7 linked regions of the Mus musculus genome follow. The protein of the gene in region 6 interacts with the protein of the main gene of each other region in a pairwise test. Links are inferred from orthologs where the notes say so. Each region holds a gene or a part of one and is shown on either strand. Other genes may lie near its edges. The genes, in order: Zbtb8a, Cda, Hoxa1, Gpatch11, Drap1, Sdcbp and Srek1ip1.

What was found.
Region 1: the proteins of Sdcbp (region 6) and Zbtb8a interact in binary tests that used the Homo sapiens proteins (3 or more experiments, as listed by UniProt). The two-hybrid records come from large-scale screens. The link is inferred for Mus musculus from reciprocal best matches to the Homo sapiens genes SDCBP and ZBTB8A.
Region 2: the proteins of Sdcbp (region 6) and Cda interact in binary tests that used the Homo sapiens proteins (3 or more experiments, as listed by UniProt). The two-hybrid records come from large-scale screens. The link is inferred for Mus musculus from reciprocal best matches to the Homo sapiens genes SDCBP and CDA.
Region 3: the proteins of Sdcbp (region 6) and Hoxa1 interact in binary tests that used the Homo sapiens proteins (3 or more experiments, as listed by UniProt). The two-hybrid records come from large-scale screens. The link is inferred for Mus musculus from reciprocal best matches to the Homo sapiens genes SDCBP and HOXA1.
Region 4: the proteins of Sdcbp (region 6) and Gpatch11 interact in binary tests that used the Homo sapiens proteins (3 or more experiments, as listed by UniProt). The two-hybrid records come from large-scale screens. The link is inferred for Mus musculus from reciprocal best matches to the Homo sapiens genes SDCBP and GPATCH11.
Region 5: the proteins of Sdcbp (region 6) and Drap1 interact in binary tests that used the Homo sapiens proteins (3 or more experiments, as listed by UniProt). The two-hybrid records come from large-scale screens. The link is inferred for Mus musculus from reciprocal best matches to the Homo sapiens genes SDCBP and DRAP1.
Region 7: the proteins of Sdcbp (region 6) and Srek1ip1 interact in binary tests that used the Homo sapiens proteins (3 or more experiments, as listed by UniProt). The two-hybrid records come from large-scale screens. The link is inferred for Mus musculus from reciprocal best matches to the Homo sapiens genes SDCBP and SREK1IP1.

The regions. Positions count from the first base shown.
Region 1 is NC_000070.6:129,375,229-129,379,188, reverse strand, and holds the start of Zbtb8a (zinc finger and BTB domain-containing protein 8A), read left to right. Parts: upstream 1-1,160; 5' UTR 1,161-1,449; intron 1,450-3,960. UniProt on the Homo sapiens protein: May be involved in transcriptional regulation.
Region 2 is NC_000070.6:138,338,028-138,340,991, reverse strand, and holds the end of Cda (cytidine deaminase), read left to right. Parts: intron 1-1,991; coding exon 1,992-2,108; 3' UTR 2,109-2,464; downstream 2,465-2,964. UniProt on the Homo sapiens protein: This enzyme scavenges exogenous and endogenous cytidine and 2'-deoxycytidine for UMP synthesis.
Region 3 is NC_000072.6:52,155,518-52,159,674, reverse strand, and holds the start of Hoxa1 (homeobox protein Hox-A1), read left to right. Parts: upstream 1-1,357; 5' UTR 1,358-1,453; coding exon 1,454-2,108; intron 2,109-2,585; coding exon 2,586-2,941; 3' UTR 2,942-4,157. UniProt on the Homo sapiens protein: Sequence-specific transcription factor. Regulates multiple developmental processes including brainstem, inner and outer ear, abducens nerve and cardiovascular development and morphogenesis as well as cognition and behavior.
Region 4 is NC_000083.6:78,834,016-78,838,315, forward strand, and holds the start of Gpatch11 (G patch domain-containing protein 11), read left to right. Parts: upstream 1-1,500; 5' UTR 1,501-1,663; intron 1,664-2,778; 5' UTR 2,779-2,905; intron 2,906-3,815; 5' UTR 3,816-3,828; coding exon 3,829-3,887; intron 3,888-4,234; exon of another isoform or gene 4,235-4,300. Other genes in the region: Heatr5b (HEAT repeat-containing protein 5B), read right to left, coding at 81-206.
Region 5 is NC_000085.6:5,422,304-5,426,372, reverse strand, and holds Drap1 (dr1-associated corepressor), read left to right. Parts: upstream 1-1,393; 5' UTR 1,394-1,658; coding exon 1,659-1,700; intron 1,701-1,939; coding exon 1,940-2,012; intron 2,013-2,097; coding exon 2,098-2,191; intron 2,192-2,481; coding exon 2,482-2,601; intron 2,602-2,698; coding exon of another isoform or gene 2,699-2,719; coding exon 2,720-2,813; intron 2,814-2,953; coding exon 2,954-3,042; intron 3,043-3,347; coding exon 3,348-3,453; 3' UTR 3,454-3,569; downstream 3,570-4,069. Other genes in the region: AI837181 (UPF0696 protein C11orf68 homolog), read right to left, coding at 1-422, 1,065-1,204. UniProt on the Homo sapiens protein: The association of the DR1/DRAP1 heterodimer with TBP results in a functional repression of both activated and basal transcription of class II genes.
Region 6 is NC_000070.6:6,364,332-6,368,479, forward strand, and holds the start of Sdcbp (syntenin-1), read left to right. Parts: upstream 1-1,348; 5' UTR 1,349-1,428; exon of another isoform or gene 1,429-1,590; intron 1,591-4,148. UniProt on the Homo sapiens protein: Multifunctional adapter protein involved in diverse array of functions including trafficking of transmembrane proteins, neuro and immunomodulation, exosome biogenesis, and tumorigenesis.
Region 7 is NC_000079.6:104,815,725-104,819,969, forward strand, and holds the start of Srek1ip1 (protein SREK1IP1), read left to right. Parts: upstream 1-1,445; 5' UTR 1,446-1,629; coding exon 1,630-1,642; intron 1,643-4,245. Other genes in the region: spliceosome-associated protein CWC27 homolog, read right to left, coding at 963-1,004. UniProt on the Homo sapiens protein: Possible splicing regulator involved in the control of cellular survival.

The sequences.
Region 1 (3,960 bases), about 120 Mb from region 6:
TAGCTGGGGTGCCTAGTTAACATGTCAAAGCTGACCTGGCCACCAGGTTCTCCCAGCATCCCTCAGTCCAATACCTGTTACAGGGTCCTCTAGGCTGGCATATCCGGCCCCCTAGCTTGAATCCTCCAGTCCAGGGGGCTGAGCTATTCTTCCCTATATAATCCAACCATTTTGGCTCCCTACCCTCTTTGTAATTTGGGTCTCCTGCTGTACTTGGTTCTGCTGCTCTCTCTCCTCCCTCCCCCACCCCACATCACAGGGCACAGCTCAGTTCACTCTGTACTCTCCCAGATGTTCCTGCCTCTGGCTGTGCTCTCCCACATATCTATAATAAACTTTCTCCTCCACTATACCTAGGACCAGGCATGTCCCTTTCCTTTTTATTTCTCCTTTTTTTTTTTTTTTCATTCAGAAATGACTGTATTGTATTCTCAGAGAGAATGATGTTCGAATACATAGTTACTTAGTGAGGAGATCGGAGAAATAGGACCCTGATGGGCTTGACTGAGGCTTGGGAGAGGAACGCCTCAAAATATTAAACGCATGCTTTGAGACTTTGAATCTTCTCCCCCATTCCGCATTACTTGACAATCAGCGTGAAGAAGTAGAAAACTAATTTAGTTTGTGGAATTTAAGCAGTATGAAAATTCAGCGGTTTACTATTTTAGGAAATGTATCACCTGATATTTGTGTGCCATAAATATTAGGGTCACGTCAGAAGAGAAACTTGATTTTACGACCAATTTTTATATTTGAAAACACGAAACACTGTTTTGTACTAGTTTTATATAAAGAATCACGGCCTCTTAATCTCAGCCCCTCCGGGCTTGCCTCTTCAAAGGGCTTGATGGGGACCTACAGAGGTTTCTAAAAGGCTATAACTGAAATTAAGTGCTTCGTCAAAGGGCGATTTTGTGGAACTCTCTCCCATTTTACGTCGCTAAACTTAAGTACAATAATGTCACATGTATACAGTATTTGTGGGCACGCCTAAGTCCCTCCCTCTCTCCTTGAACCAATATCTCCACATATTAGAAATCCAGCCCTTCTGCCCTCCGGAGGCGCCTTTCCCAACGTAAAGTACAATTTTAAAATTTAAGCTCCCGACTAAAAGAATGATCCCCAATCAACTGCTGGGGAACCTGGGCGCCCTAGTGCCTGCGGAGGGTGCAGTCGGGCGTGGGCACGGACAGGGGGAGTGGGCGAAGCTGCTGGTTGGTGCCTGAAATCTGTGCGTTGCCCCTTTAATTGTGTCCTCAGCCCTCGGGCGTTTCTGTCCAACGCCCACGTCAGCAAATACCTTTTGTTTCTCCCACGTTGGGGCTACTTGTTTTAGGGCGCAAAGCCTCGGCTTCGGAAAGGGGCTGCTTCCCCTACCCGGAACCGGGAATCGCTCCGCAGCGCGCGCGCGCGCGAGCGAGCGAGCGAGCGAGCGGCTAGAGCCCCGCGGTAAGTGGCTGCACGGGCGCGGGCGGGAGGAGGGCGGCCCGGGCGTCGGGGCTGCGGGCCGGGCCCAGAGCCTGGCGGAGGGCGGCGGAGCCGCCGGGGTGCGCCCCGGGACTGCAACCCCAGCCGGTGCGCCGGGCGACGCAGGGGGCACCCGGCGCCATTTGCAGCCGGGGGCGCAGAGCGGCGGCTCCGAGGGTCGGCGACGGCCACAAAGGAGACGCGGGCGGCGGCGGCGGCCCCGGGCGCGGCTGCGGGACAATGGCTGCACCGTCGCCGCCCGCGCCCGCCCCGCCGCCAGCCTTGGCCCGGCCCGGGGAAAGGCGGGAAGGCGCCCGAGCCTCCTGACGGCCGCGGCGGCGAGGCGGCGCCACGGGGCCGGGCGTGTCTGCAGACGTCGGGCGCGGGGCGCGGGGCGCTGCAGCCCGGCGGTCTCACTCCGCCCTCCACTCTCTGGTTTTCCATCACGACGCGACAGTTCTGGGCTTAGAACCGAGGGCAGAAATATGGAGCCCCAGCTGGCCCCGCGGCAGAATGTCCCTGGCATCTCCCACCTGGAGACACTGTCGGCTTTAGTCCCTTCGCGCTCTGGCGCGCTTACTCGCCCTTGACCGTGCGGTTATTCGTAATCCACGTCTTTGCGAGACGTGTTTGGAATAGGATTCACACCTAGCGGGCACCCAACCACACACGCCGCCAACACCTAGAAGTCTTTCTATTTGCAGAACTTTAGTAAATGGAGTGGTTTCACTTTGACGAAATATTGCACTTAATTTCTTATGAGACGGCTACGGGTTCCGGCTGTTTATTCTACCTAGCAAAGGGGAAAGGGGGAAAAATAAAACGCTAATGGTTAGGGAGTCTCATCCCTAGGCAGGGAGCTGAGACGTGGCAGCCCCCCAAGGCGCCCTGTTCTTGCAGCGTCCCGGAACAGTCTCCAAAGTACCAAAACCTTCGCTGATTTTATCACTTAAATCGCACTTTTATTTACCTATTTATTCTTTGTTTTAAAGCGGACTCAGGCTAGACTTGAAAATTTGATCTTACCTCCACCTCGGGAGGGCTGGGATGCACTAGGCAAATTTTTGGCACAATTATATACTTTTTAATATTCAAAGACGTTAATATAAGTTTTAAAACTCCTCTTTTAAAAAGCTATTTTATATATCTTTTTTTTGAAGGCACTGTTTCATGTACCCCAGGCTAGCCCTAAATCTTGGACCTCTGATTCTCTTGCAGCCCCTACCAAATGCTGGGATTACAGGCATAGATCACCACACCTGATATTATCCTGTACTTGAATTGAACCCATGCATGTCACATAGGCACTCTACCACTAAACCCAGCCCTCTCCAAACCTTAAATGGCTCCTTCACATCCTACTAAAAAAATAAAAAAATCCAAAACCCCCATGGTGTGTGTGTGTGTGTGTGTGTGGTGTGTGTGGTGTGTGTGCGTGTGGCGTGTGTGTGTGTGTGTGTGTGTGTGTGTGTGTGTGTGTGTGTGTATTTTGAACCCGGGCCTTGCATGGGCTAGGTAAATGTTACCATTGAGATACATCCCCAGGCCCCTTATTTTAAATTTTAATTTTATTATGAGATGAGGGTTTTCTCAGGGTTGCCTTGGTCTTACTTCTTCCTGCCCCGCCTCCCAAGACCCTGGGGTTAGCCGACATTACTGGCACACCACAGTGACCTCCTCTCCCCACCCATCCCTCCTCCATCTGTTCCTGTCCACCTCACGGCCTTTGCACCTGCTGTTTGGTTTGCCTGGAGTAGTTTCAAAGATACACATTCTTTCCTGCTATGGACACCAATCACTCAGATGTCATCTTCTCGGTGAGGCCTTTCCAAGTATAGTTTCAAAACTCGAGTCTCTCTCTATTTTTTTTTTTTTTTAGATTTATATATATATGTGTGTGTGTGTGTGTGTTGCCTGCCTTTGTGCCAGTATACCAAGTGCTTGCCTGGTGCCAGATGAGGGTGTTGAATCCCCTTACATGGATGTTAGAGATGGCTGTGAACCTCCATGTGGGTGCTGGGGATTGAACCCAGATCCTTGGAGAAACAGCCAGTGCTTTTAACTGCTGAGCCATCTACCCAGTCCCTCTTAAGTGTTCTAACATTTCATTCTAAGACTTTCCTATCTTAGACCCTGTAGACCATATGTGCTACTAAGATTACCGAAGGTCAGGTCACATAGAAGGAACAGATATTACTGGGCCGTGGCGTTGCATACCTTTAATCCCAGCAGAAGCAGGCAGATCTCTCTGTTTTGGAAGCCAGCCTGGTCAACAGATCAAGTTCCGGGCCAACCAGGGCTACATACACAGGGAATCCCTGTCTAGAAGAAAACAACAGAACAGATATTTACTTCTTGCACTGGTAGATGCTGGGAAGCACAAGATTATGGTGCCCTGTGTGGCTTCTTTCTGCTTCCCGGAAGGCACCTCTTCGTGGCATACATAATGAGGGTAAATACAGTGCTGTGCCTTCATTAGTAAAATGGGTAGAA
Region 2 (2,964 bases), about 130 Mb from region 6:
TAAACATGAAAATTCACCACCCTTGAAACCTTAATTCTGAAAAATCCCAAAGATTGATAGTGTCTGGTAACCGTGTCTGAGAGTGATTCAGACAGACACGTGGAAGAACAGGAGGCGTGGACCAGCCTCGGCTGGCAGCCCACACATCAGTCACGATGCCACGGCCTCTGAGAACTGGGCTCCGACTAGGCACCAGGGTCTGTGAATCTCACCATGCCTGCCAGGAAGAAGTCGGGTCTGTTGACTTCCTCTCTGTCACCGACTTAACTCCCCACCTACCCACCTCGCTGGTGGATAGGAAAGGGCTCCTATCACTAAAACACGTGGTGGGTGAAGACAGAGAGCCCCAGAGGACCCAGATAGGGCATGGGAGAAAGTTCTGGAGACATGCTCATCTCTGCTGATGTATTAGTTAGTTACCTTCCCACTGCTGTGATGAGACACCATGACCAAAGCAGTTGAAGTTTACTTGGGGCTAATGGTTCCAGAAGGTTGGGGTCCATAATGCAGGGACGGCAGATGAGAGACATGCTGGCTGGAGCTGGAAGCTGGAAGCTCACATCTGGAAACTCCCTCACATCTGGAACAGTGAGCAGGAAACAGAGAGAGTGCTGGAAACCATGGATTTTGAAACCTCGGAGCCTGCTTCCAGCGGCTCTTCCTCCAGCACACCCATATTCCCCAACCCTCCCCAAACAGGTTGGCCAACTGGGGACCAAGAATTCCATTGCTTTCAAACCACCACAGCTGATTGATAGCACTAAGTCTGTTTCTCCAATAGTGAAAGGAATGTAATGACAGCCACCACCTCCAGGGGGCGATAATGCTATAATGTCAACATAGTGTGTTGAGTGTCCTGAAAGAGACAAAAATTCCTTCTTGGAGGTACAAAGGGGAACCTGTAGAGGGCAGCGGGTGTTGGCTGTCATTTGCCATTGCAGAAGGAAGCTTAGCTCTGGGGCATAGACTTTGAAAAAAGATTTAATTTTTAATTATGTCTGTGCCAAGATGTGCATTTTAAACACAGTTGCCCACGAAGGCCAGAGCATCAGATCTTCGTGGAGCTGGAGTTAGAGGAAATCGTGGGCTTCCCAGTGTAGGGGTTGGAGATAAACTCGGCTCCTCTGCAAGAATTCTGAGTGCTCTTAACTGCCGAGCCATCTCTTAACTGCCGAGCCATCTCTGCAGCCCAAGGCACAGATATTTCAACCGGTGCTAGGAAGCGATTTCAGTGGTTAAACTCTTGCATATTTAACCCTCGAGGACCAGAGTTTGCATCCCTAGAAACCCAGGTGATCTGGGCAGATGCCTGCAATTCCAGACTTGGAAGGCGGAGACAGGGGATCCCCACAGCAAAGTGGCTGGCTGGACTAGTGATATGGCCGAGCTCTGGGTTTGATAGAGAGACGCTGCCTCTGTGAATAAGGCAGAGGAGCCATGAAGGATGATTCGGGACCCAACCCTTGGGCTTCCACATGCATGTTTACCCATATGCGCCCCCCCTCACATGCATACAAACACGTGTATACCACACATACATGAAAACAGAGAGAAGGGTTTTTTGTTTTTGTTTTTTTGTTTTTTTCGAGACAGGGTTTCTCTGTGTAGCCTTGGTTGTCCTGGAACTCACTTTGTAGACCAGGCTGGCCTCGAACTCAGAGATCCGCCTGCCTCTGCCTCCCAAGTGCTGGAATTAAAGGCGTGCACCACCACGCCTGGCAAAGGTATTATTTTTACAAAGCTCCTGGGAGCATCCTCCAAGGGGATGCTCGTGGCCCATTGACAACAGGCCATGCACGGTGATGTTGGCCAATGCTTTTCCACTGAGCTCTCCCCCAGGCTCTGTGAGCCAGGTACAACTATTGTTACTCCCATTTGACAGGTAATGGAAACTAAGGCACAAAGAAAATAGTAGAGTCACATTCGAACCCGTACCTTCCATCTCCCTCAGTCCCACGGCCTCCCTCACACAACTTTGCCCTCTCTTCCAGTTTGGCACCGACTGGGCCGTGTACATGACCAAGCCGGATGGCACATTCGTAGTCAGGACGGTCCAGGAGCTGCTGCCGGCCTCGTTTGGACCTGAAGACCTGCAGAAGATTCAGTGAAGGTTGAAGAATAGAATGTCTGCTGAATGTGCAAGCCCTACCTAAGGAACGGCTCTTGGAAGACTTCATAATGATGCTGTCTCTGGCTGGGCCTTGGGGACACTTGCCACATGGGTCCCAAATGGCTGGGCAAGGGTGACCTTGATTCACACACCACAGCCTCCCCTTGAGTGATGGAAGGTGCCACTCACCTAGGCCAAAGCCCACATCCTCTTGGGGACTCAGAGCACTCCTCTCCTTCCACTCCCAAAGACACGGGTATTCCAGACCCGGTCTGCCTCCCTACCAGCCTTCTTAGGCTCTGTCGTGTGACTTTTCAGATTATAAATGCCACAGCACGTGCTGTTTGAGAAGAACGTGTTTTTGTTCTTAGTCTGTGTATACAGTTCTCAGGGGTGGTTTGTCTCACGGGGCAGGCAGTCTTAGTTGCTTTCTTCTGGCAGAGGATGTGGGAGCTTCCCAGGTTGCCTCTCTAAGTGGCGTCTGAGAGCCGAAGCTCCTTGCCTCTGCGTTCTTGGACCGGAGGCCCTTAGGCAGGGTTTGATTACAAGAGCCCATTCACTATAGCTTGGACATGGGATGTGCCTCCAAGGTCCACGGACTGGACCGAGTGGGAGGAAGCTAGGTCACTGGGGATGTGTCCCTGAAGGATATGGAGGCTTCCAGGCTGTACCTCCTCTTCATCACTTCCCAGCTATGAGGTGAGCTGGTCGTGACCACACACTCACACAGAGATGTGCGCTTAGACCGCCAGAGAGGCTCAAAGTTAATGGTGCCTCAGACCAGACCCTCCAAGACCACGAGCCCAGGTAAACCTTTCCTCTTGAGCTGGTTCTCACGGGTCTTTGTTACAGGA
Region 3 (4,157 bases), on a different chromosome or scaffold from region 6:
TGATGGGAAACAGGACCCCTGTCCTGGGATGATGCTCACATCTGCACGTGTCTCTCTGGGGAGTGACCTGCAGGTTCACACAAGCCCGTTGGAAAGGGTCCCATCCACTCAGTCATCTGTCCCTCCCACCTGCCGGTCCTCAACACCCCCCATGCCCCAGTCCACACAGGCAATAGGGGATGGTGGGAAGGGGGGGCTCTTCCACTCCTAACTTGCCTCTCCTGGAAGAGAGAAACTCGACGGGGGAGGTCTGCATACTTTTTAGGAGTTGCCTGTTATCTGCCCTTCTGAGGCCTACCCTAGAGTGAGCATGCTCCTGGGTCTCTAAGAGTTGGCAGATGGCCTGCAGCTCAGGCTCGGCCCTCACGCCAGTCAGCCACGTCTGCTGGCGTCAACAATCTCCTTTGCCTTCTACTCCTTAAACTCCAGTAGCAGAGTTGCCCCGATTTTGCAGGGCTACCAAGAGCAAAGCGACAGAGAAGGAGAGAGGGCAGAGAAGAGAGTGGACACCCGGCCTTTCCCAGAGAGCTGGGTTCGTAGCCCCCCCCACCCCCACCCCCACCCCCGAATCCCGGGACCCTGGGGTCGAATTACAGAAGCTCCCATTGCCATGCTATTGGCCGGCAGGAATCAGGGAAGAGGGCTCTAAGACCCTTTGGATGAGGACAGAAGTTTCTTTTCTTGCTTTGGTCCCCAGCACATTCACCATGGTTCCTCCCAGTCAATCCTCTGCGCACGTCCCTCTACATTCCGAGGCTGGCGAGCCAGTGACGCAACCTCGCCCTAGGCGCCGGGATTCCGGGCTCAGGTCTCTTGCAGGGGTTGGGTAGTGGCGGCCGCCCCGAGCTGAGGGCGTGGTGTCTGTTGGATTCCCACCCTTCCCACCCCGCGTGCTCCCAGCTCCGCCAGGGTCCTTGCGACCACGCAGAGATTTTCGGCCCACAAGATGCCCGCCACAAGAGAGCCAGGAGGCCTCATCCCCTCTCACCTCTTGCCAGTTCAGCTTTCTGGGCTGGGTGGGGAAGGGGCCGCGGAGGGGGCCTCCCATCCCCCCACATCTGGTGGCGGAGGCGCGCAAAGCCGGGCGCGCGCAGAAGGCAGTCTCGACTCCCTTTGGTCCCAGTGCTCCAAGTCAGCTCCGGGAGCGGCCGCTGCTACCGCCGCGGCCCGGGCTGCCTGGGGGGGCGAGCGCGCGTCACCTACACTGAGGAGCGCCGGGGATTTAAATGCCACTGAAACGGTGATCCATCACGGCCGCAGCCGGTAAACTTTCGCAGGCGGCTCAGCCATTGGCTGGTAGAGTCACGTGTCCTCCCCTCGAGCCCTCCGCCTGCCCGCCCCGCCTCTTGCGCACTGTACATTCATATCATTTTTCTTCTCTGGTCCTATGGAGGAAGTGAGAAAGTTGGCACGGTCACCCAGGGCTTCGCAGGATCCAATCACTCAGTGACAGATGGACAATGCAAGAATGAACTCCTTTCTGGAATACCCCATCCTTGGCAGTGGCGACTCTGGGACCTGCTCGGCGCGAGCTTACCCCTCTGACCATGGGATTACAACTTTCCAATCCTGCGCGGTCAGTGCCAACAGCTGCGGCGGCGACGACCGCTTCCTAGTGGGCAGGGGGGTGCAGATCAGCTCGCCCCACCACCACCACCACCACCACCACCATCACCACCCCCAGACGGCTACTTACCAGACTTCTGGAAACCTTGGGATTTCTTATTCCCACTCGAGTTGTGGTCCAAGCTATGGCGCGCAGAACTTCAGTGCGCCTTATGGCCCCTATGGATTAAATCAGGAAGCAGACGTAAGTGGTGGGTACCCCCCGTGCGCTCCCGCTGTTTACTCTGGAAACCTCTCGACTCCCATGGTCCAGCATCACCACCACCACCAGGGTTATGCTGGGGGCACAGTGGGCTCGCCCCAGTACATTCACCACTCATATGGACAAGAGCAGCAGACTCTGGCCCTGGCCACGTATAATAACTCCTTATCCCCTCTCCACGCCAGCCACCAAGAAGCCTGTCGTTCCCCTGCTTCAGAGACGTCTTCTCCAGCGCAGACCTTTGACTGGATGAAAGTTAAAAGAAACCCTCCCAAAACAGGTAAGTCCTGCCGGCTGACAGACAAATGCTGTTCGATTTTTGAAAGGGGCTGGCACACCTAGTTTCCTAGGAAAATGAATGATTTTTAAAAGATTGGTTCTTGTTTATGTCTAATGTCATCTAGAGTTGTAGTGAGTGGTGTAGGGTGCCCAGGTGTGCAGAGGCAAAAGCGTTTCACAGGGGCTGAGGTTTAAATGGTCTATAGTTAGATAGTGTGCGGGGAGTGGGAGGTGGTGATGGTGGTGATGGTGGTGATGGTGATGTCCTGTTAATATCTACAAGGCTCCATTAATCACGAGCCTGATCACACTAATGGTTGACTTCAGGTTAACACTGCTTACACATCGTCACTGGCGCTTCCCGATAGGGTTTGTGCTCGCTGAGTAGTTAACCGAATATTGCCTCAAGCTTGGGGCAATCTGGATAAAGGTTTAAGATTTTTTTTTTAATCTTTTCTCTCTTCCTCCCCTACCCTAGGGAAAGTTGGAGAGTACGGCTACGTGGGTCAACCCAACGCAGTGCGCACCAATTTCACCACCAAGCAGCTCACAGAGCTGGAGAAGGAGTTCCACTTCAACAAGTACCTTACACGAGCGCGCAGGGTGGAGATTGCCGCGTCCCTACAGCTCAATGAGACCCAGGTGAAGATCTGGTTCCAGAATCGCCGCATGAAGCAGAAGAAGCGTGAGAAGGAGGGGCTCCTGCCCATCTCCCCTGCCACTCCTCCTGGCAGCGATGAGAAAACGGAAGAATCATCTGAGAAATCTAGCCCCTCGCCCAGTGCCCCTTCTCCGGCATCGTCTACCTCAGACACTCTGACTACCTCCCACTGAGGCTACTCCAGCCCAACTCTGCAGCCCAGGCTTCTCCCTGGGCTGGGATTTCTTACCCAAAGCACATTCTTAGCTTATCTTCCTTTCTTTACAGACTCTCTCTTCCTTTCTCGTCCCATCTGGGGAGCTCCTGGCCAAGATAAGGTATTTCCAGAGAATTCTGGAGCCTTGGTTGGAAGTTAACTCCTTCATCCACATCGGGTGTCCACATCAATTGCTGATGGCTCCCAACATCCTTTCCTTCACTGTTGTGAGATTTTTTTCTCCCCACAACCTATGATTCCTTTTAGATGTCGGCTGGAGAACAGTTAGTTCCCTTTGCCATCAGACATTTGCAGGAAGGAGGCATCTCTCCTTTTATCTATGTATTGTTCTTCTCCACCTAGCCCTTAAGTAGGACATAGAGGAGAGAGAGTGTCCAAAGACTCATGAAGAAGAGATGCACTGTGTTTACACAATTAATTCACCCCCTAACTTAGCTGGTTTCATGTGTGTGAGTTTGCTGGTTGTAAATGCTTTCCCGTCAGAGATTTATCTTTATACACATTTTATAGAAATATGTAGGTCACTAAATCAAACAGGGTGGACAAATTCTCAAAACTGGTACAGTTCATGTGTGATTATGGGCGAAAGAAGAAAACCTCTTTCATTCAAACAGAGTCAGATGCCTCAGAAGTTGGCCTCAATTGGTTCTTTCAGAGTTAAGAAGGCCTGCCAAGCACTTTGCCTGTGCCAGGTCTTCCCAAACTCTAACCAATTCTTCCTGCTTCTCTGGCCACCCTGCATTTAAAAATCATGCTGGATCATTTGTAACCCAAAGGTATTCATTCTTTCAGTCACCCTTTCCTTCCACACTGTCTTGTATCATGGCTGGATCCAGTGTATTTCCAGCTAATTGTTAATGTGATGGATGGCACAATGAATGTATATTTTGTGTGATTCGTGACTAGTCTTCTGCATGTCGCACAATGTTCTGATGTCCCTGAAATATCACACTGAGTTCTATCAGTTATTCTTTGTGAGCCTATGATAGTCTCCATTTACTGTACAATCATGAACAGCTCTGAGATCCTGGAGTGATGTGGTCCAGAGCAGAGTTTACGGGTCTTAAGATGTCTGTAATAAAAGTATTCAAGTTTTAGGTATGCCTAAGCATCTTGTGTATTTGGCTGGACTACAGTGGTTGCTTACTACTAAGTTGGCCCATTTCACATGG
Region 4 (4,300 bases), on a different chromosome or scaffold from region 6:
TGAAAGACTCATAACATTTTCAAAACACAATGCCTTCAATTTTCTTTATATCAACCTATGGTGAGGTGGGCAATGCTTACCTTGTTGGCAGCAACTAGGACTTTATCAAGAAATCTCAACCATTCAAAGATGAACACGGGTCTCTTTGCCTCCGTGATCTGAGCCAAAGCTTCCTCATTTAGCAATAAACTGTGAGCTAGCTCCATTATTGATGTTCTTAATTCACACCTTAAATGAACAGATTCGTTTTTTAAAAAAAGAGTAAAATATATTCTAAGGAATTTTTAATTTATGTGTAGGAGTGTTTTGCCCAAATGTATGTATACACATACATACATACATACATACACACACACACACACACACACACACACACACACACACACACATATATATATATACAGGGTGTTGGCTCCCCCTAGAACTGGAGTTACAGATGGTTGTGAGTCATCTTGTGGGCGCTGGAAATCAAACCCAGGTCCTTGTCAAAAGCAACAAGTATTCTTAATCACGGATTCCTTTCTCCAGCCCTTACATGTAAGGATTTCTTAAATATTAAATGTCAAGTTTCATAAATGCAACCACTAAGCTAGGGAAAGAAAGCGTGGTTTCATTTCTCATTAGAGAACTAACTTTGAAAGGACAATGATTTAAAAGAAAGAAAGAAAGAAAGAAAGAAAGAAAGAAAGAAAGAAAGAAAGAAAGAAAGAAAGAAAGAAAGAAAGAAAGAAAGAAAGAAAGAAAGAAAGAAAGAAAGAAAAAACTGGCGATAAGAATGGAATGAAAGGAAAATGTAAATACTGCAAAAAAGGCACTATTCCGGGGCGGTTGTTTCCCTGTTAGAACACAGGCTATTAACTCATTCTACCCTGAGAACCCCGAAGCACCGAGCTCAGGCGTCTGGGGAGCTTTCTCCGCCACCCGTCCCTCGCCACCGGGACCCAGAAGAGTGACCGTAGGGTTCTGATCGGCGGAGGCGGGCCCCACGGGGACACTGCGGCAGGGGCGCCCGGGACAACCCCTCGCCCCGGGAATGCAGTGCTCCGGGTCTGGATGCACCGGGCCGCTCCGAAGACCCCGACAACTGAGAGTCTGCTGGAAACGCAAACCGGGGTCCCCGGGCCGCCCTGGGATGTCAGCCTCCCGTCGTAGGAGTCCTCGAGCTGTCAACCCCGAGGCTGAGGATCCCCGGCCTCAAAACTCGAATTCCCTCCTCAGCCCTCGGAAAATGTCCTGGGACCCAGGGATGTCACAGCCTGCAGGCTCTGACAGCGCGCGAGACCGCCTCACCTCCTGGTCTAGTCCGAGCCGAGCAGCCAAGCTCCGCTCTGCCGAGGGACCCGGATGCCCCGCCTCCCAAACTCCGGCCCTCAGGAAGCCGGGAGACGACGCATGCGCGAGACACAGGTCCTGCGGACCGGCCCGCCCCCACGTCCTCTTAGCCCCGCCCACCCCAAGTTTCGAAGCGAATCGGCTGTCGGGGACGAGTGGGATGTTTGTGGGTCCTGCGCCAATTGCACGGCGCATGCGCAGCGCGACCTCCGCGGAGCTGGTTCCGGGCAGTAAAGCTCCGGCTTCAGGGTGTGCGGGCGCTCAGGAGAATGACAGAGGTCGGTGCAAGTTGGCTGTGACTGCCTATCACAGCGTCAGCTACGCCCCATCCGTAAGTGGTCGTTTTGGTGGGAGGGTGCAGGAGGGAGGAGAGCGGGAGGGAAGAAAGAGCCTGCGATGCCCGAGGCACCCACAGGAGAGTTAGCCCAGCTCTGTGTGTTCTGTAGCTCTGCTTCAAACTCGGTGCTCAATACTGAAATACGCTAGCAGCACCTATAATCGTCCTGTTGAGAAAGTGGTTGCTCCATTATTTCGGAACAGGCAAAGCGCTTCACCTAAACTTGCTCTGGCTCTTTGACACACACCACCTCCAACCATCAACAGATGCTGCGTGATTTACCCCCTCAGACCCAGAATCCTGACCACTTCGCTGTTGTGACTCTTAAGTGAGGGGTCAGGCCACCAGCATCCCTACCTGGGTTATCTATCGACTTGTGGAGTTTATTCTTATATTTGAAGGAAGTGGATAATGCTAGTGTATGTTGTCCTCATAGGAGGGGAACCTTCACATTTTAAGACCCAATTCCTTATTCTTTTCTCTCTCTCTCTTTTTCTTTCTTTCCTTCTTCCTTCCTTTTTTTTTTTTTTAAGATTTATTTATTATATAGCGTTCTGCCTGCATGTATGCCTACAGGCCCAAAGAGGGCACCAGATTTCATTATAAATAGTTATAAAGCCACCATGTAATTGAACTCAGGACCTCTAGAAGAGCAGACAGTTCTTTTAACCTCTGAGCCATCTCTCCAGCCCCCTTATTCCACTTCCTAACATAATGTCCTCACTATTGGTAATTAACTTCCTCAAACCGTATCATTTAATGAATCTACAGTGCCCCCAGCTGTGAAGTTTCAGTGTGATTTTATGTGAAAATTATATGTAAAAGATGGAATAACTATAAAAGGCAGAGCTTTAAAAGTAACATGTAATCCCTTGTACTTTTGTAAGTGTGTGTGTGTGTATTTTTACACAGGTAGATCATACTGTCCTCGAACTGCTGGGTGCTGAAATCACACCAGAGGGCCACCATGTCTGTGGAGTTAAATGCTTCCCTTAAAAATAATCTAGTTTGAATTAGAGATTTAGCTCAGTTATAAAGCACATTCCTTGCTTGTATGAGGCCCTGGATTCAACACCCATCTCAGCAATTACAACCTCGTTCCGTTTCAGGAACAAGATCACCAAGACTTGTATTCTTTGTGGTTGTGAACCAATTATTTAGCCACATTGAGCCTCAGTTTTCCCTGCTGGAAAGTGGAACTAATACTTCTTATCTACTGGGCTGCTCCTAAGCTAGGTGAGTACTAGGAGACTGCAGGTCAGTCTGATTCATCTCGGGCTTGACTAATCTTCTAAGAGGCGCACTTAGTTGGCTCACTCATTTGTGCCTCGGATCCTCCCACGTGGCCATCTCTACAGAGCTTCTTGAGTGTTCTCATATATGACCACTGACTTCACTCAATTCATTCATACTACCAACTGTAGAGTGCACTGTATAGTGTGACCAAAAAGTCACCCTAAGCCAGGCGCAGGTGGCACTCAAGAGGCAGAGGCAGGTGGATCTCTATGAGTTCAAGGTCAGCCTGATCTACAAAGTGAGCTCCAGGATAGCTGAGACTACATAGAGAAACCCTGCCTCCAGAAAAGCCAAAAACAAAGTCACTCTAATATATCCTATTAAAAACTATTACACAAACTGCTCAACAAAATTGACTAGGAGCAGGTCATCTTGGAGAATACTACACGATTATATGAGGGTTTGTCTCATAACTGGAGAATCACAGGTTCAAGGCTAGCGTGGACTACATGGTGAGTTCCATGCCAGCCTGAGGTGGCGGGTGACCTGATCTCAGGGAGAGAGAAAAAAAAAAAAAAAGGATAAAACAAGAGTATTTGTCTCTGGTGGTCTGGTGACTTTGATTAGAATGGCTTACAGTTGGCTCATAGTACTTTTTGGAAAGCATTGTTGGAGGAGGTGTGTCAGTTTAGAAACCTTTGAGGTTTCTAAAACCCACACCATTCCCAGTTGGCCTTTGTTGGGTTGGCAGCCTCTCTGTTGCTAAGACATAGGGTGCTAAGATTCTCCATCTTTGCATACAAGGGAGCATAGTGAAGCATTGCCACTCTCCATGGTCGATTTCTGTATTGATAAACTAAAATTATGACGAGGATGATCGCTCTCACCCTTGGTCCTACTTGATTTGCAGGTAGTGTTGTCAGATGAAGGAGAGCATGACAGAAGAGGAGGACTATATGTCGGATTCCTTCATTAATGTTCAGTGAGTAAATGGGTATATCTAATTTGATGGTGTCTGGATATCCAAAAGACACAAATAGAATGAAATAAGGACATTGGTTGGGTAGAGGTGGTGGTCATGTCTGTTTGTTTAAAGCTAGGGGTACATGGAGCTTAGGCAGTTCTCCAGCTCACTGGGCAGCTCATCCTCCTGCCTCTACCTCCTAAGGGCTGAGACTACAGCAAAGGCTATGTGCCACAATGTCTGGGTTTTGCAGTTTTGGGGATCACACTCAGGGCTTTATGCATGCTAGACAAGTACCCTGACAACGGGACTACTGCCCTAGCACAGGATATTTTTTAATATATATTTTAATTTTTAAACTTTAGTTCATCATTGTGGGAAGGGCACTGCACCCCTGTGGAGATTGGAAAACAACTTTTGGGAGCCACTTC
Region 5 (4,069 bases), on a different chromosome or scaffold from region 6:
GGTCCAGCTTGAAGCCAGGTGACAGGTGAATCAGCCACTTGCCGGAGAGCACATGGTGGGTGATGGCCAGCTGGCGCAGGGTACCTGGTGTGATGGGTCGCCCACTGGTCTGCAGAGCCTCCCAGGCCGCCTGCAGCCCTTGTACATCCCCTGAGTTGGGGGTGTAACCCTGCCCATAGGCTGCAATCCAGCCCACAGGTTCAGAGTTGGGTGAACCTGGGTCCCCATAGCGAGTAACTTGAGATGGTGGGTACTTGGCCAACCAGGCATCCAGCTCTGTGGCAGGTGTGGTACGGGCATCAAATACCAGCCAGGGGTCCATATCGGCTGCCATGGCCTCTGCAGCCAGGTGCTCAGCAGTGAAGCCATCCTCCCGGCCACCTGGAGAGTCTTCCTCTTCCAGCTCCTCATTTGGTTCCATCCTGTTGTGAGGGAACTGAGTCAGAGGTTTGAGACAGTAAATAAAAAGTGCTGGGTCCTGGAGGGTGCCAGGCACTGCAGTAAACTGTGGCCCTGGGCAAGACATAATGTCTGTGCCTCAGTTGCTTCATCTTCACAATGGGTAACAACTGATCCTGTCTAGATTTGTCTCCAGAATAAGACGCCTGAGGTGGAGTAGCTATAGTTAGTACTACTTTCACTGCTTACAAACAAGGAAATTGAAACTCTTAAGAAAAGGGGCTTGCCCAAGGTCATGCCCGTAAAGAGCGCCAGAGCTTAAGTGTGAACTGGCACGGGGCTCGGCTACACCACCGGACTAGAGTCCTGCAAGGTAGCGCGGCGCTGCAATATAATGGACGTAGGCAAAACGCAGGGTCGCCAACCTCAGAGGATGGCTGTAGAGGGCCAGGCCTCCCCCGGTGAACGATTGGGGGCACCGTGAAACACCGAGGCTCTGAGCCCCAGAGAGGGCAGCGGCCCATCAGGGGGTCAATGGGTACCATCCAGACTCGAACCAGATAGGACCAGGCCTGCGCGAGGACCAGGCTCCAGCCCTACCACATCCGCCGCCATTAGTGCCCACAGCTTAAGGGTTGCCGTCCCTCTCGCCACCCCGCAGTCACCTCCGGCCTTCACTCCGTTCCGCGCCAACCCAACTTCGGGCCCGGCTCCGTTCCTGCCCGGGATCTGCTGCGCCGCCGCCGCCGCCGCCGCCACCCCCGCCGCGCCCCGCCCCTGCCACGGCCGCCGCCGCCGCCGCCATCTTAGGGTCCCGCCACCTCAACAACAACTTTATAGACAAACACAGTCACGGGGCGGGGCCAGAGGCGGAACCAGAAGGCTAGGGGCGGGGGCTCCAGGGGAAGGGGCGGGCAGCGTCCAGGGGCGGAGCCGGCGCGAGAATCCCGGGAGGTGCAGGTCTTCGGGAGGCGGAGCTAACGTTCGTACTTTAGCTTGGGGGGCGGGTGGGCGTGGCGGGCGAGCCCGGGGAAGGACGCGCACCGCCCCAGAGGATCCGAAGCCCAGCGCTCGAGTTTGGGGAGCTGCTTGTCTACGGGCGGCACTAGGACCCTGCGGGAAGTGGTGTAGGCGGAGTAAACGGCACCAGGACCCGGGGAGGGTGGGGGGGGGGACCGCGGCGGGCCGGCGGCGGACAGGCCCGGGGCCGGGAGGCTGCGGGCGGCGGCGCTGGGCCCGGCGCAACGAGAGGCCCCGAGATGCCAAGCAAGAAGAAGAAGTATAACGCGCGGTTTCCGCCGGTGAGCACGTGGCCCGGATGGGCCCCGGCAGGCAGGGCTCCCGGGAGGCTTGGGCCCAGGTCCTGCTGGTGGGGGGGGCGGGTGCCTTTAGGTGTTCACGGCCTGACGCCCCGCCCCTTCCATGCCCTCCTGACTTAGCGCCCCCCGCCCTCTTCTCCTTCTCCCGGGATACCCCCGGTTCCCTCTGTCCCCCGTGTTAGGGACGCAAGAGACGAGCTCTGTCCTCTTCCTTTCGGCAGGCGCGGATCAAAAAGATCATGCAGACGGACGAAGAGATTGGGAAGGTGGCGGCAGCTGTGCCTGTCATCATCTGTATCCTACTAGGGGCCGGTTGGGCTGAGGGGCGTGGGGCGGGACTGCGGCACTCCCCTTTTTGGATTCTCCTTGACGTCTTCAGCCCGGGCCCTTGAGCTCTTCCTGGAGTCCCTGTTGAAGAAGGCTTGCCAGGTGACCCAGTCTCGAAATGCCAAAACCATGACCACGTCCCACCTGTGAGTGGCCGCCGAGCTGGGAGGGGCTTTTGAGGAGGCAGAGTTCCGACAGGGGGAGTGGTGCAAGGCCCAGGGAGGCCAGCTTTGTGGATTTGGACTGATGCAGGAGAGATTAGGTGTTTCAGGTGCAGGGAATACAACCAGATCCGAGCCACCGGCCCTCCCAGGAGGCCTGGTGGAAGTAGGGGTGTTTTTAACGTTCCACTGTACTGACACGAAGAAGTTGTTTGTATCCTTCCCTAAGTGTTTTGGGGGCCCCATTTGAACCCCTTCCTTTCCCACTTCTTTAGGAAGCAGTGCATTGAACTCGAGCAGCAGTTTGACTTCTTGAAAGACTTGGTGGCATCAGTGCCTGACATGCAGGGGGATGGGGAGGACAACCACGTGGATGGGGACAAGGGTCCTCGAAGGTGGGTAGCCAAGACCCGGTATACAGGTGGGGAAGGCCAAGGCCACAAGGTTGGGGGTGGCTGGGGGATGAACCAGGAGGAGAGAGTCCTCGTGCAGATGGACTGTACCTTCCCGAAGGGGCCGGAAACCGGGCAGCAGCGGCAGGAAGAACGGAGGCACGGGAAGCAAAGGCAAAGACAAGAAGCTGTCCGGGACAGACTCTGAGCAGGAGGTGAGTGAGGCTGATGGGTGATGGCCTCAGCCTTGTCTGCTGCCTCTTGTTCCTCCATCTCCATTCCTCTCCCAGGGTCTGGGCTCCCCAGAGATGGGCCCGGGCCCTCTCATTAACCCTGACCCCTTCCGTGCTCTCAGGATGAGTCTGAGGATACAGATACTGATGGGGAAGAAGAGACACCACAGCTTCCACCCCAAGCCAGTCACCCTCCTGCCCACTTTCAGAGGTGAGCACCCCAGGAGCACCAGAAAGGGGCACGCCAAACTCCCCATAGCCAGTTAGGTTTGCTTCCCTGGCCACTTGATGGTGGCGGCTGACTTAGGGAATGGGAGGGGACATTAGACACAAGACATTGTTCTGAGAAGGTCTTGTCTCCACGGTAGTCAGGGAGACAGTCTAAAGAGTGGTCCTCTCTGGCACCTTCCCTCCTGGGGGGACGACCACATCTGCCTCTGCCTCTGGAGGAGGGGGTGGGGCCTGTGGGCTGGGCACAGCATAGTGGCAAGCCTGATTTTCTCCATTTTGTCGCAGCCCTCCAACTCCCTTCATACCCTTCACATCTCCCCTGCCTTTGCCACCAGCACCCCCCGGCCCCTCAGCAGCCGATGCAGAGGATGAAGAGGATTATGACTCCTAGCGCCCTGTGCCCCTGTACCCCAGCCATGCTCTCTTCTAGTTAGTATTAATTGCTTTGGGGAGAGGAGAAAGGTGGGATTGTTCTTAAATTTATTAAAAAAAAAAAAAAAAAAGGATTTTGGTTTCTTTTCATCCTGTGGCTTTGTGGCTGTATTCTTATTGCCCACCCACCTACTTCCCCACATGAGGGGCAGCAGGGATGGTGTGGGGGCAGCCAGTGATTGAGCAAAAACGGGGAGTCTGACAGGAGTCTGGTGAAGGGGCACCGAAGAAAGGGGTGTGGTTTAGAGACTGGAAGCACCAAGGGATGAGCTCTCATCGTGCGGGACCTTGAGCAGCCTTCTTCCCCTCCCTGGCCTGCTGAGGAGGGACAGATGGAGTCAGGACTGAGACTGGGCCTTGAAAACTACAGTGCTCTGCAGCGCCAAGCAGTCTGCCTACTGTGAATATGAGCAGCCTGGGCAGCTTGTGTGCCAAAGGCAAGCGGTACATCTTCAGGGAGCAGCGGTGCTGAGTGGGGCAGGAGGCAGAGGCCATGTGGGGTTCCCGACGTCTGTAAGACCCAGAGTCATCTAAGTCATCTGTTGCCAAGCTCGCTGACTTCTTCCTGATGGAGG
Region 6 (4,148 bases):
AAGTAGCTCTCATAGTTTTTGTTTTTGTTTTTGTTTGTTTTTCTGAGACAGGGTTTCTTTGTGTAGCCCTGGCTGTCCTGGAACTCACTCTGTAGACCAGGCTGGCCTCGAACTCAGAAATCTGCCTGCTTCTGCCTCCCAAGTGCTGGGATTAAAGGCGTGCACCATTTTACAGGACAGAGGAAGTCATCAGTCAAGGCAAGCTTACAATACATAGGCGCTTACTTCAGAGAGGCAGGACAAGGCAGTGGGGGTGAGGTTCAGGGAACCTTTCTGTAAGACGCAAGGTGTTTTCTGGTGGCATTCTAAGCATTTGGATTGGTAGAAGCTAGTTGCCTGCTAATTCAATAGATTCTAAAGACCTGTTGTTTATTGTCACAAGATGTTAGTTTAGACACAGGGAAACAAGGAATGGCTGTTCTGGAGGGCCAGGATTTAGCCCAAGATATGGTGATCTTCCTCTGGACTTTCGACATTCCAACCTATTTATTTCCACAGCATGAAATTCTAATTAGGAGTTTTCCTTCACACAGATATTCATTCAACTAGGCTTGTAGCTAAGTATTTTATCTTGATATATTTTTAATATTCAATTCCAATTGCTCATTTCGTGCAGATAGGAAAGTAATTGACTCGTGTGTATATTAACCGTGTATCGTAGCAACCTTGCTGTAGCTGCTTATTCTGCTTACTGGTGTTTATTTTCTCTTTGTTTACATAGATAATCTTGCCAGCTGTGAATAGAACTGTATTTCTTCCTTTTCCATCCCGTAACTCGTTTTACAAGTTGTTCATCAGTTAAGCCATATTCTCCCTGGAGCATCACATTTTCATTCCTCTTGTCATGTAATGCTTATTGTTTTACCAGAGATAAAATTTCAAATGACTGTGATGATGAATAATTTAGATAGACAATTGCTTGCATGCCAATGATGTCATATACTGTTACTAGGAAATGGCCTCAGCCATGGACTGGTGTAGATATTGTCAGTTTCACATATTCATGTACACCCCAAACATCTGGATTCCCCTATCAGCACCATCAACTCTCAGAAAGCACATAGTCCGTGTTTTTAAGATTAGAATGTGGGTTTTATTTATTTCAGGGTGTGTGTGTGTGTGTGTGTGTGTGTTCAACACCGAGAGTAACAGTCAGCAGCCAATGAGCATTCGTTCTGGGAACAAAGGGTAGTAAAAGGCGGCGGGGGCTGCCAGGGAACCGAGGCTGGAGCCGGGAGTTGGGAGGATTTCGTAGAGGGAGGGTGGGCTGGTGGTCGCTCGGGCTGTGCCGCGTTGTCATGGGGACGGCGCGTGCGCCTGCGCCTGCGCGGCGGAAGGCGGGGGCGGTGATGACGCGCAGGGCGGGCCCCGAGGTTCGGTTGTGTGGAGCTGGAGCGGGCAGCAGGAGCGGCGCGGTCCTCGGGGCAGGTGAGTGGCCGCGGGGGTCCCGGGCCCCGGCAGGTCTCGGAGCTGGTCCGGCGCTCTGCTTCGGGCCCCGGGTGGGTCTGGCCGGGTCCTCGCCCGCACTCGGTGGCGTCCTCAGCGGCTTCCGGACGGCTGGCAGGGCGCGACGGACCGGAGGTGACAACGGTTAGCTGCGGAGCCGCTGCTCTGGAAGGGGGCAGGGAGGGCCAGGGCTTGCAGCGGGGTGTGTGCACCAGGAACGGTCTCCGGAGGTCTGGTGACTCAGATCTCCTTGGAGGATTTCCTTCTAATACGGGGCGGAGGGAGGCGTACAGACGTGGAAAGTTTCCAGTTTCAGAAGTGCAGTTATGGAGCCGTGGAGTGTGTGGGATCGTTTGTTGTATTCGTCCTATCTTCGACACATAGCTTTTTTTTTTCTTGTTTTGTTTTGTTTTCCATTAGGTAAATTACTTAGAAAGTGTAGAGTTTTAAATTCTTAACACGCACGCTTTACACCGAGAACAAATGTTTAAGAACGAAAGTTATATTGAAAATAGCTGCTGCCCTGGTCAATTGTCTTACTTTTGAAATGTCAAGGTGATATAGTTCAGCAGATTTGTACTCTCATTTTCCCGATGTGAGGATAGGACAAAGCAGAAAATATGCCTTTTCATCCTGTTAACAACTTAGGTCCTTAAACTGGTAGGTCTTAAGTGGTACGTAAGTATTACTGATCAGATGACTTGCACCAGGAAATAAGGAAATGGAATGACGAGAAGGCTCAGTAAACAATTACTCCATTATAGCCAGAGTCACTTAACTTTGGAAGCAGATTTTAGCTGTGCTGGATCTATTAAAGAGGATTTAAAAATCATGAACAAGAAAGGGCTGATTAAGATTTTGATGCACTTTTGAATTAAGCAGCCCTTTAAAATGAGCACGGCTCACCGACTTCCCCCCATTTTTGCCACTTTCTCTTAGGTAGTAAACATCCAGAGACTGTAAAAGACACCCACACACTTTAAAATACTTATACATTTAATAATCGTTCTCCTTGTACTTATTAATTGCCAAATGTTGCAACACTTACTGAAAATTTTAGCTTTTAAGGATGTAATTAGTAAACATATGGCTCAAAATTTTAAGCATTTAAAATGTAGAGCATACAGTATAAAACCTCCCCTGTGCTTGGCATAGGCTTTGGTTGTGCCCACCAGCCAGCCATATTTCCTCTGGCAGGCCAGTTCTTTTACGGTCTTAGGTACTGGTTCAGATAGTGCCTCTATGGTCAGACATGTAAATATGTTTCCCTCAGTTTAACACTGAGGAAGGCATGATTTTCTGCTGTATGTGTCTGTTTTTCCAGTTAGTAATAACATTTTGGATTATAACTTTCAGTTATGGTTAAGTTTGGCTGTGTTTTGGTCAGTGTCACTGTGACCAAGCTAGTAGGTATGATTGTCACCCTTTGCAAGTACATGTCAACTAAAGACATGAAGCGGTCTTACTGTGTCTGGAGTTATAATTGGAGCAGATGTCTAAATTGTAGGAGTTACTCCTCTTATACTTAACTTTCTTAAAATTGTAAAAGGCTTTGAACAACTATATTTAAAAAATGATAGTTTCTTTCCGCTAGCTTTTTAAAAAATGGTGTGTGTGTGTGTGTGTGTATGTGTGTGTGTACATACGTGGGAGTGGGATGGGGAGTGCAGGGAGTGGAGAGGCCAGAGTCAGCGTGCCTGTGGGGTTGAATTAGTGGTTTTGTCAGTTGCCCCAAGAATGGGTGCTGGGAACTGAACAGCATGTGTTCCTTGGAGCTCCTGCATACAGACCTGCCAGGAACCTAGGCCCCTGGGGCCCAGACTCACAACAACTCTACAGTTTTAACTTTGTCACCTTCTTAGTGTGCCCTACTAGTGTACATGGTCTGAACCTTCCTGGGCCCCACTCCTGACGGAGAATAAGCAGAACCTCCTTCCACGTTTCCGAGCTGAAGGCTCTCCCCCTGCAAGACTCCTGTCACATCACAACAGATCACAACAGCTCCAGCTCCTCTTACAGCTGTAATGAAGGGTAACCGCTTCCCCTCTATAGACCCTATACTAACCTGTGACACATATGGGCGCAGGTCTCAGTGGCTGATCATCAGAAGCCCCTGGGATGTTTGGTTTATTTATTTTTTTACAGTCCAGTCGTTGCCCCCACTCCTGGGAACTTTTTTTTTTTTATGCCTGAGGTAGTTTTTATCTGAAGATTAGCTAAAGTCAAATACTTCTCTTGGGACCTGACCTAAGTGAGTTCTCTTTCACTGTGTGTGTGTGTGTGTGTGTGTGTGTGGTGTGTTCATTCCATGTGGTCACAGAATTTCTGTTAGGATTGATTCAGGTATGTTCTTTGACACATTATATGAACTACAAGGATTGTCTTTTGTCCCTCTGGACAACCAAGGTCCTTATTATTTTATTTGAATTCAACACAACACTTTTTCTTATTTATGCTTTTAAATTATTTGTATTTAGTTGTCTGAAGTGAAAAGTTCCACAGTGGAACATTACCGGAAATTTTAAGAGTGATTTCAACGAAGGAAAACTAAGCCATTCCAAAGTATTTGGGTTTGATTATACATAGTTGAAATGGGCCACATATTTGACTTGCGCTAATTTCCCCAATTAGAATATGTGGTCCTATCTTTTAACCATTGTGAAGATTTCAACTATTATCTTTGTTCCAGCACATCATTGCTT
Region 7 (4,245 bases), on a different chromosome or scaffold from region 6:
ATCTTCAACTCTATAGTGTTTGCATTCTATATAGGAAAGAAACCAAGGTAAGATACTGTTAAATACTGGGTAATTGCTGAGACCCAGGGCATCACTGAGATCTGCTATTTGATAGGCTTCTTTGTTACATTTGAACAGGTAAAATAGCAAACTAGAGAAATGAAGCGTGAAGGTTCTGCATTGTGGAATGGTCAGTCTATTTCATCTCTACACGCATTTATTCATTAAAATTAATATTGTCCTCTAGAAATATATAGCTCAGCATGAAATCTATCAGGGAATCTACTCCCATTCCTATGAAATAACATTCCTCACTCCTCCCCTGCTTCTAACTGACAATTATCTCAAAAGATATCTCCTCCAAGATGTTTTCCCCATCATTTCCTGTTTTCCCTCCATCACTGTCATGGCAATATAATCTCTTCTTCAATACCTCCCAAGCAAAGGCAGGTGTGTTCATGCACGTCTGTAATCCTGAGATAGGGAATTAGTATATATATACGTGTGTGTGTGTGTGTGTGTGTGTGTGTGTGTGTGTGTGTCTATAATACAGACACACATATAAAGGTAGAATACCAACCTTTGTATCATCAGCACCTAGTAGAGTGCGTGGTGCCAAAGAGGCCTTCAATAATGACTGTAGAGAATGCACGATCTCCAAGTTAAACAACAAGCAAAAGTGTACAATCTTGAGATAAGTCTTAAAAACAATAGACACTAGAAGGCGCTCACGTGAGTTGGATCAAGGAAGTTAAGGGGTCAGAAGACTAGCGAATAGGGAGGTTGCCCAAGAACTCTTTCAAAAATATGCTGAGACACGTCACCGTAAAGAATATAAATGCAACACTGGCCATATGCAGGGTGTGGAGAAGAGTCCTTTGGTCTTTCCACCTCTAAAATCCCCGATAGCTGCCCCTCCCTGCCCGCCCCCAGTCACCGTGTCCAGGAGGTAAGGCTCTCACCTTCCCATTAGTGGGCGGCTCCTGGATGTAGATGTTACTCATCTTGCTCAGTGCTCAGGACTCCGCTCCTTAGTGTGGCCGCAAGCGAATGGCGGGTCTCCGGCGAGGCCCACCTGTTAGCACACAATTCTTTAACCTGAGTATTTGGGGGAAAACTTCACTCGGTCAGAGTCGGACAAGACAGCCGTACTAATCACTAGTTACTCCCCAAACTAGCCCATCATGGACGCCGCCATGTTGCTCCCGGACCGGAGCACCGCTAACCCCGGGAGGGGGGACTTCCCTGTCCTTCAGGAAACTAGAAAAGACTATAGGACCTCTACAACTTTAGAGAATTTGTAGCGAGGTTTATAATACGAGCTAAAGGGCCAATCCGTAAATCCCGGGGCTGCGTCCAGGTCAGGCGATTGCAGATAGCACTCACCTCCCGAAGCGGGCCGAAATGGTTCCGACCGCGTGTGCTCCGCGGTAGGACACCCCTGGAAACTGCATCCACAGCCACTTAGTTCCGCCAACCCTAGATGTGCATCGGGCCTTCCCCTGCCCGGTGAAGTTGTAGTGGCCGGGTGGGAGAGATCCCTTTGGGAATGCGCTGTCCTCGCAACGGACCTGAACCTAACGTGATCTCGAAAGCCCAGGACTCCGACGATCCCACTCACCTTGCATCATGGCAGTCCCAGGTGAAGGTCAACCGCAGGGCTCTCTCACTCCAGAGGAATGAGACGAGCAGGGAAGCCCAGAGCACGGGGGTGGGTGGCAGCGAGCACTTGGGGAATCAGGCGAAGGCCTAAAAATTTAGATTTGGTCGGCTTACATGAAAAAGCTTATACTACAAGTTCAAAGCGGGGTGAGAAAGATAGGGAAAGATCATCTCTGTCATTCTTGGACAAGCCCAAACTGCACAGGATTAGAGGGAAAGTGTATTGTAAGAGGGACAAGGGACTTGGTGACAATGAGAACTGTAGGCCTAAGGGGACAACTTGCCCAGAAGACTGTAACTTTCACACGATTTCAAAATAAAATTCGAAATGTGAGCATTTTGCCGAATCCAGGTGGCTATACACATTATACTGAAAGTCGCCAAGAAGAGCACCTGAGGCTTGTTCTAGCACTTCCAGCCTGTAATTTCTATGTGGCTGCAGGCCCGCTGCTGTGCCCTTCCGGGCCTCAGTTTCCCTATCAGTTTCAAGACAGTGCTTTCTCGAATTAGATCTAAGATTCTTTGTAGGTTCCACTTTTGTGTTCAGAGGTTTCTAACCTAGAAACGGCAAACTGAGCTCCGGGGATGTTTTTGTTGCTCCAGTTTACTGGGGAGCCGCTAAGAACTTCCCCAAGCCGACTTTGTCAGAATGTGTTTCTGTAAAACCCTATTATCAAGCAGGTGTTTTTAAGAGATATACCCGCCTCGCATCTCGGAGATTCACAGTGCATAGTACTGTAGGAAAGACCCTCAAACTATTTGTGAAGCCCCAACTTTGCTTAACACTGCCCCTTCCCGCTACTGTTTGACCCCTGTCTTTGTTCCGTGGCAGCCTTTTCTGAACTTTATTCTAGAGATTACTGTTGCGGGGTGGGGCTGCTTCCTAACTTCTGCAGAGGAGCACTCCAGGAGCTGTGAAAAGAGAGGTGACTACATTTATTGAGTGTGTGGCAGTCAGCATGGTAGAAACCCTTGCTCTCCTAGAATTCGGGGGGGGGGGGATTTACAGAAAGTAGAACTAACGCTGGGGCGAGCAAAAACAGGACACCTAACAGGATCCAGAGTGTACAAAAGGATGTTCCAGATGAAAGCTAAAGAAAGGTGAGAGTGCAGGGGACCTGCAGGGAGAGGGAGCAGATACAGAAAGGAAGAGGAACTAAAAGAGGGAATGAAAGAGCCCTGCCGTGGCTAACGATCAGCTAACCTGAGAGAAAAGAGAAATTAACTAAAGCGATAATTCAAAGTATCTAACTTTTACTATGTAACCCATGTATCTGATACTATGTCAAACATTGTATATTTTTTTCCTCCCTTTAATAACCACTGCTATGAGATAGCTGTTGTTAGTCTCACTTCACAGACGGAGAAATCAAGTAACTTGCCTATTACAAAAGCTAATGGAGATTATCCAAGCTCTTGGCCACCATGAATGCAAATGCATTCTCCAACATATCCATGGCACAATAGATTCCCTGCGACTGAAGGACCTTACAAGCAAAAACAAAGTGTTAGGATGTTAATAGACAGTAGGAAAACACTTAACAGCTTTAAGAAAAATTACATTTTAGGATACTGTGACCTAGAGGAGAGTTAGTTAATGTAGAGGCGTTGTTGGTACTTAAGGGTGATTCTGGTCAGTTATGTTACCATTGAGGATGTAGACTCATTAAGAGAGAAGCAGCTAATTTGGAGGGGGGGGTGGTGGTGGTGGTAGAATCACTAAGAATTAATTGCTTTGGTGTGGGTAGGAAATGAGATTAACCTGGTTTTTGACATTAGCTCATTTGAGGAGGCCTCATAACTGGGAAGACATCCCTCAAGATCAGAGTTGAGAGATGGTGGTAAGGTCAGTCTGGAACTTGTGTTGAGGTCTATCTGGCCCGGGATGGAAATGGCCCATAGATAGCATGGGAATAAACAGAATACTGGACAAGAAGTCAGAGTCAAAACCAACACTTATTATAGGACTAAAAGGATAAAGTGTGAGGGACTGTGCAGACACAGTGGGTAATGTGTGAAGGGAAGACCTGACTGGAGTCTAGGAATAATAGCATGTAAAGGAAAGAGCTGAGAACCACGAGCCTGCACAGTACTTGCCTAAGCATTTCGTGAGGCTCTGGTGACCTCTGCATCACACAGTTGCACCCAGAGTTGGCCTGCTGTCACTGCCCATCATTTGGGCAGGCGCTGGAGCACTGGTAGAGTATGAACACACCAGGAGACACACCGTAAAACTTTAGGAATGATAATTTGCTCCTGAAGAAAAGGGACAAAAAGTGATTTTTCTTCTAGCTTTGTTTGAGATGCTCTTAAACTTGAGACCAGTGTTAAAAAAAATGTTAACCTTTCAATTCAAAATAATGTTTCAAAGCATAATAATAAATTGTGTCATTAAGCCAGATGGAATGACTTACATAAACTGCTTAAACCCACCCCCCCCAAAAAAATCAAGATAATAGGCTTGACAGGTGGCACAAACGCACAATGCAACTGCTTTAGAAAGTGCAGATACAGAAGATGTTAAGATAATTTCTTGGATGATCGATCCAGATGCTGCACGGAAGGAAAATGGGGCTCCATTGA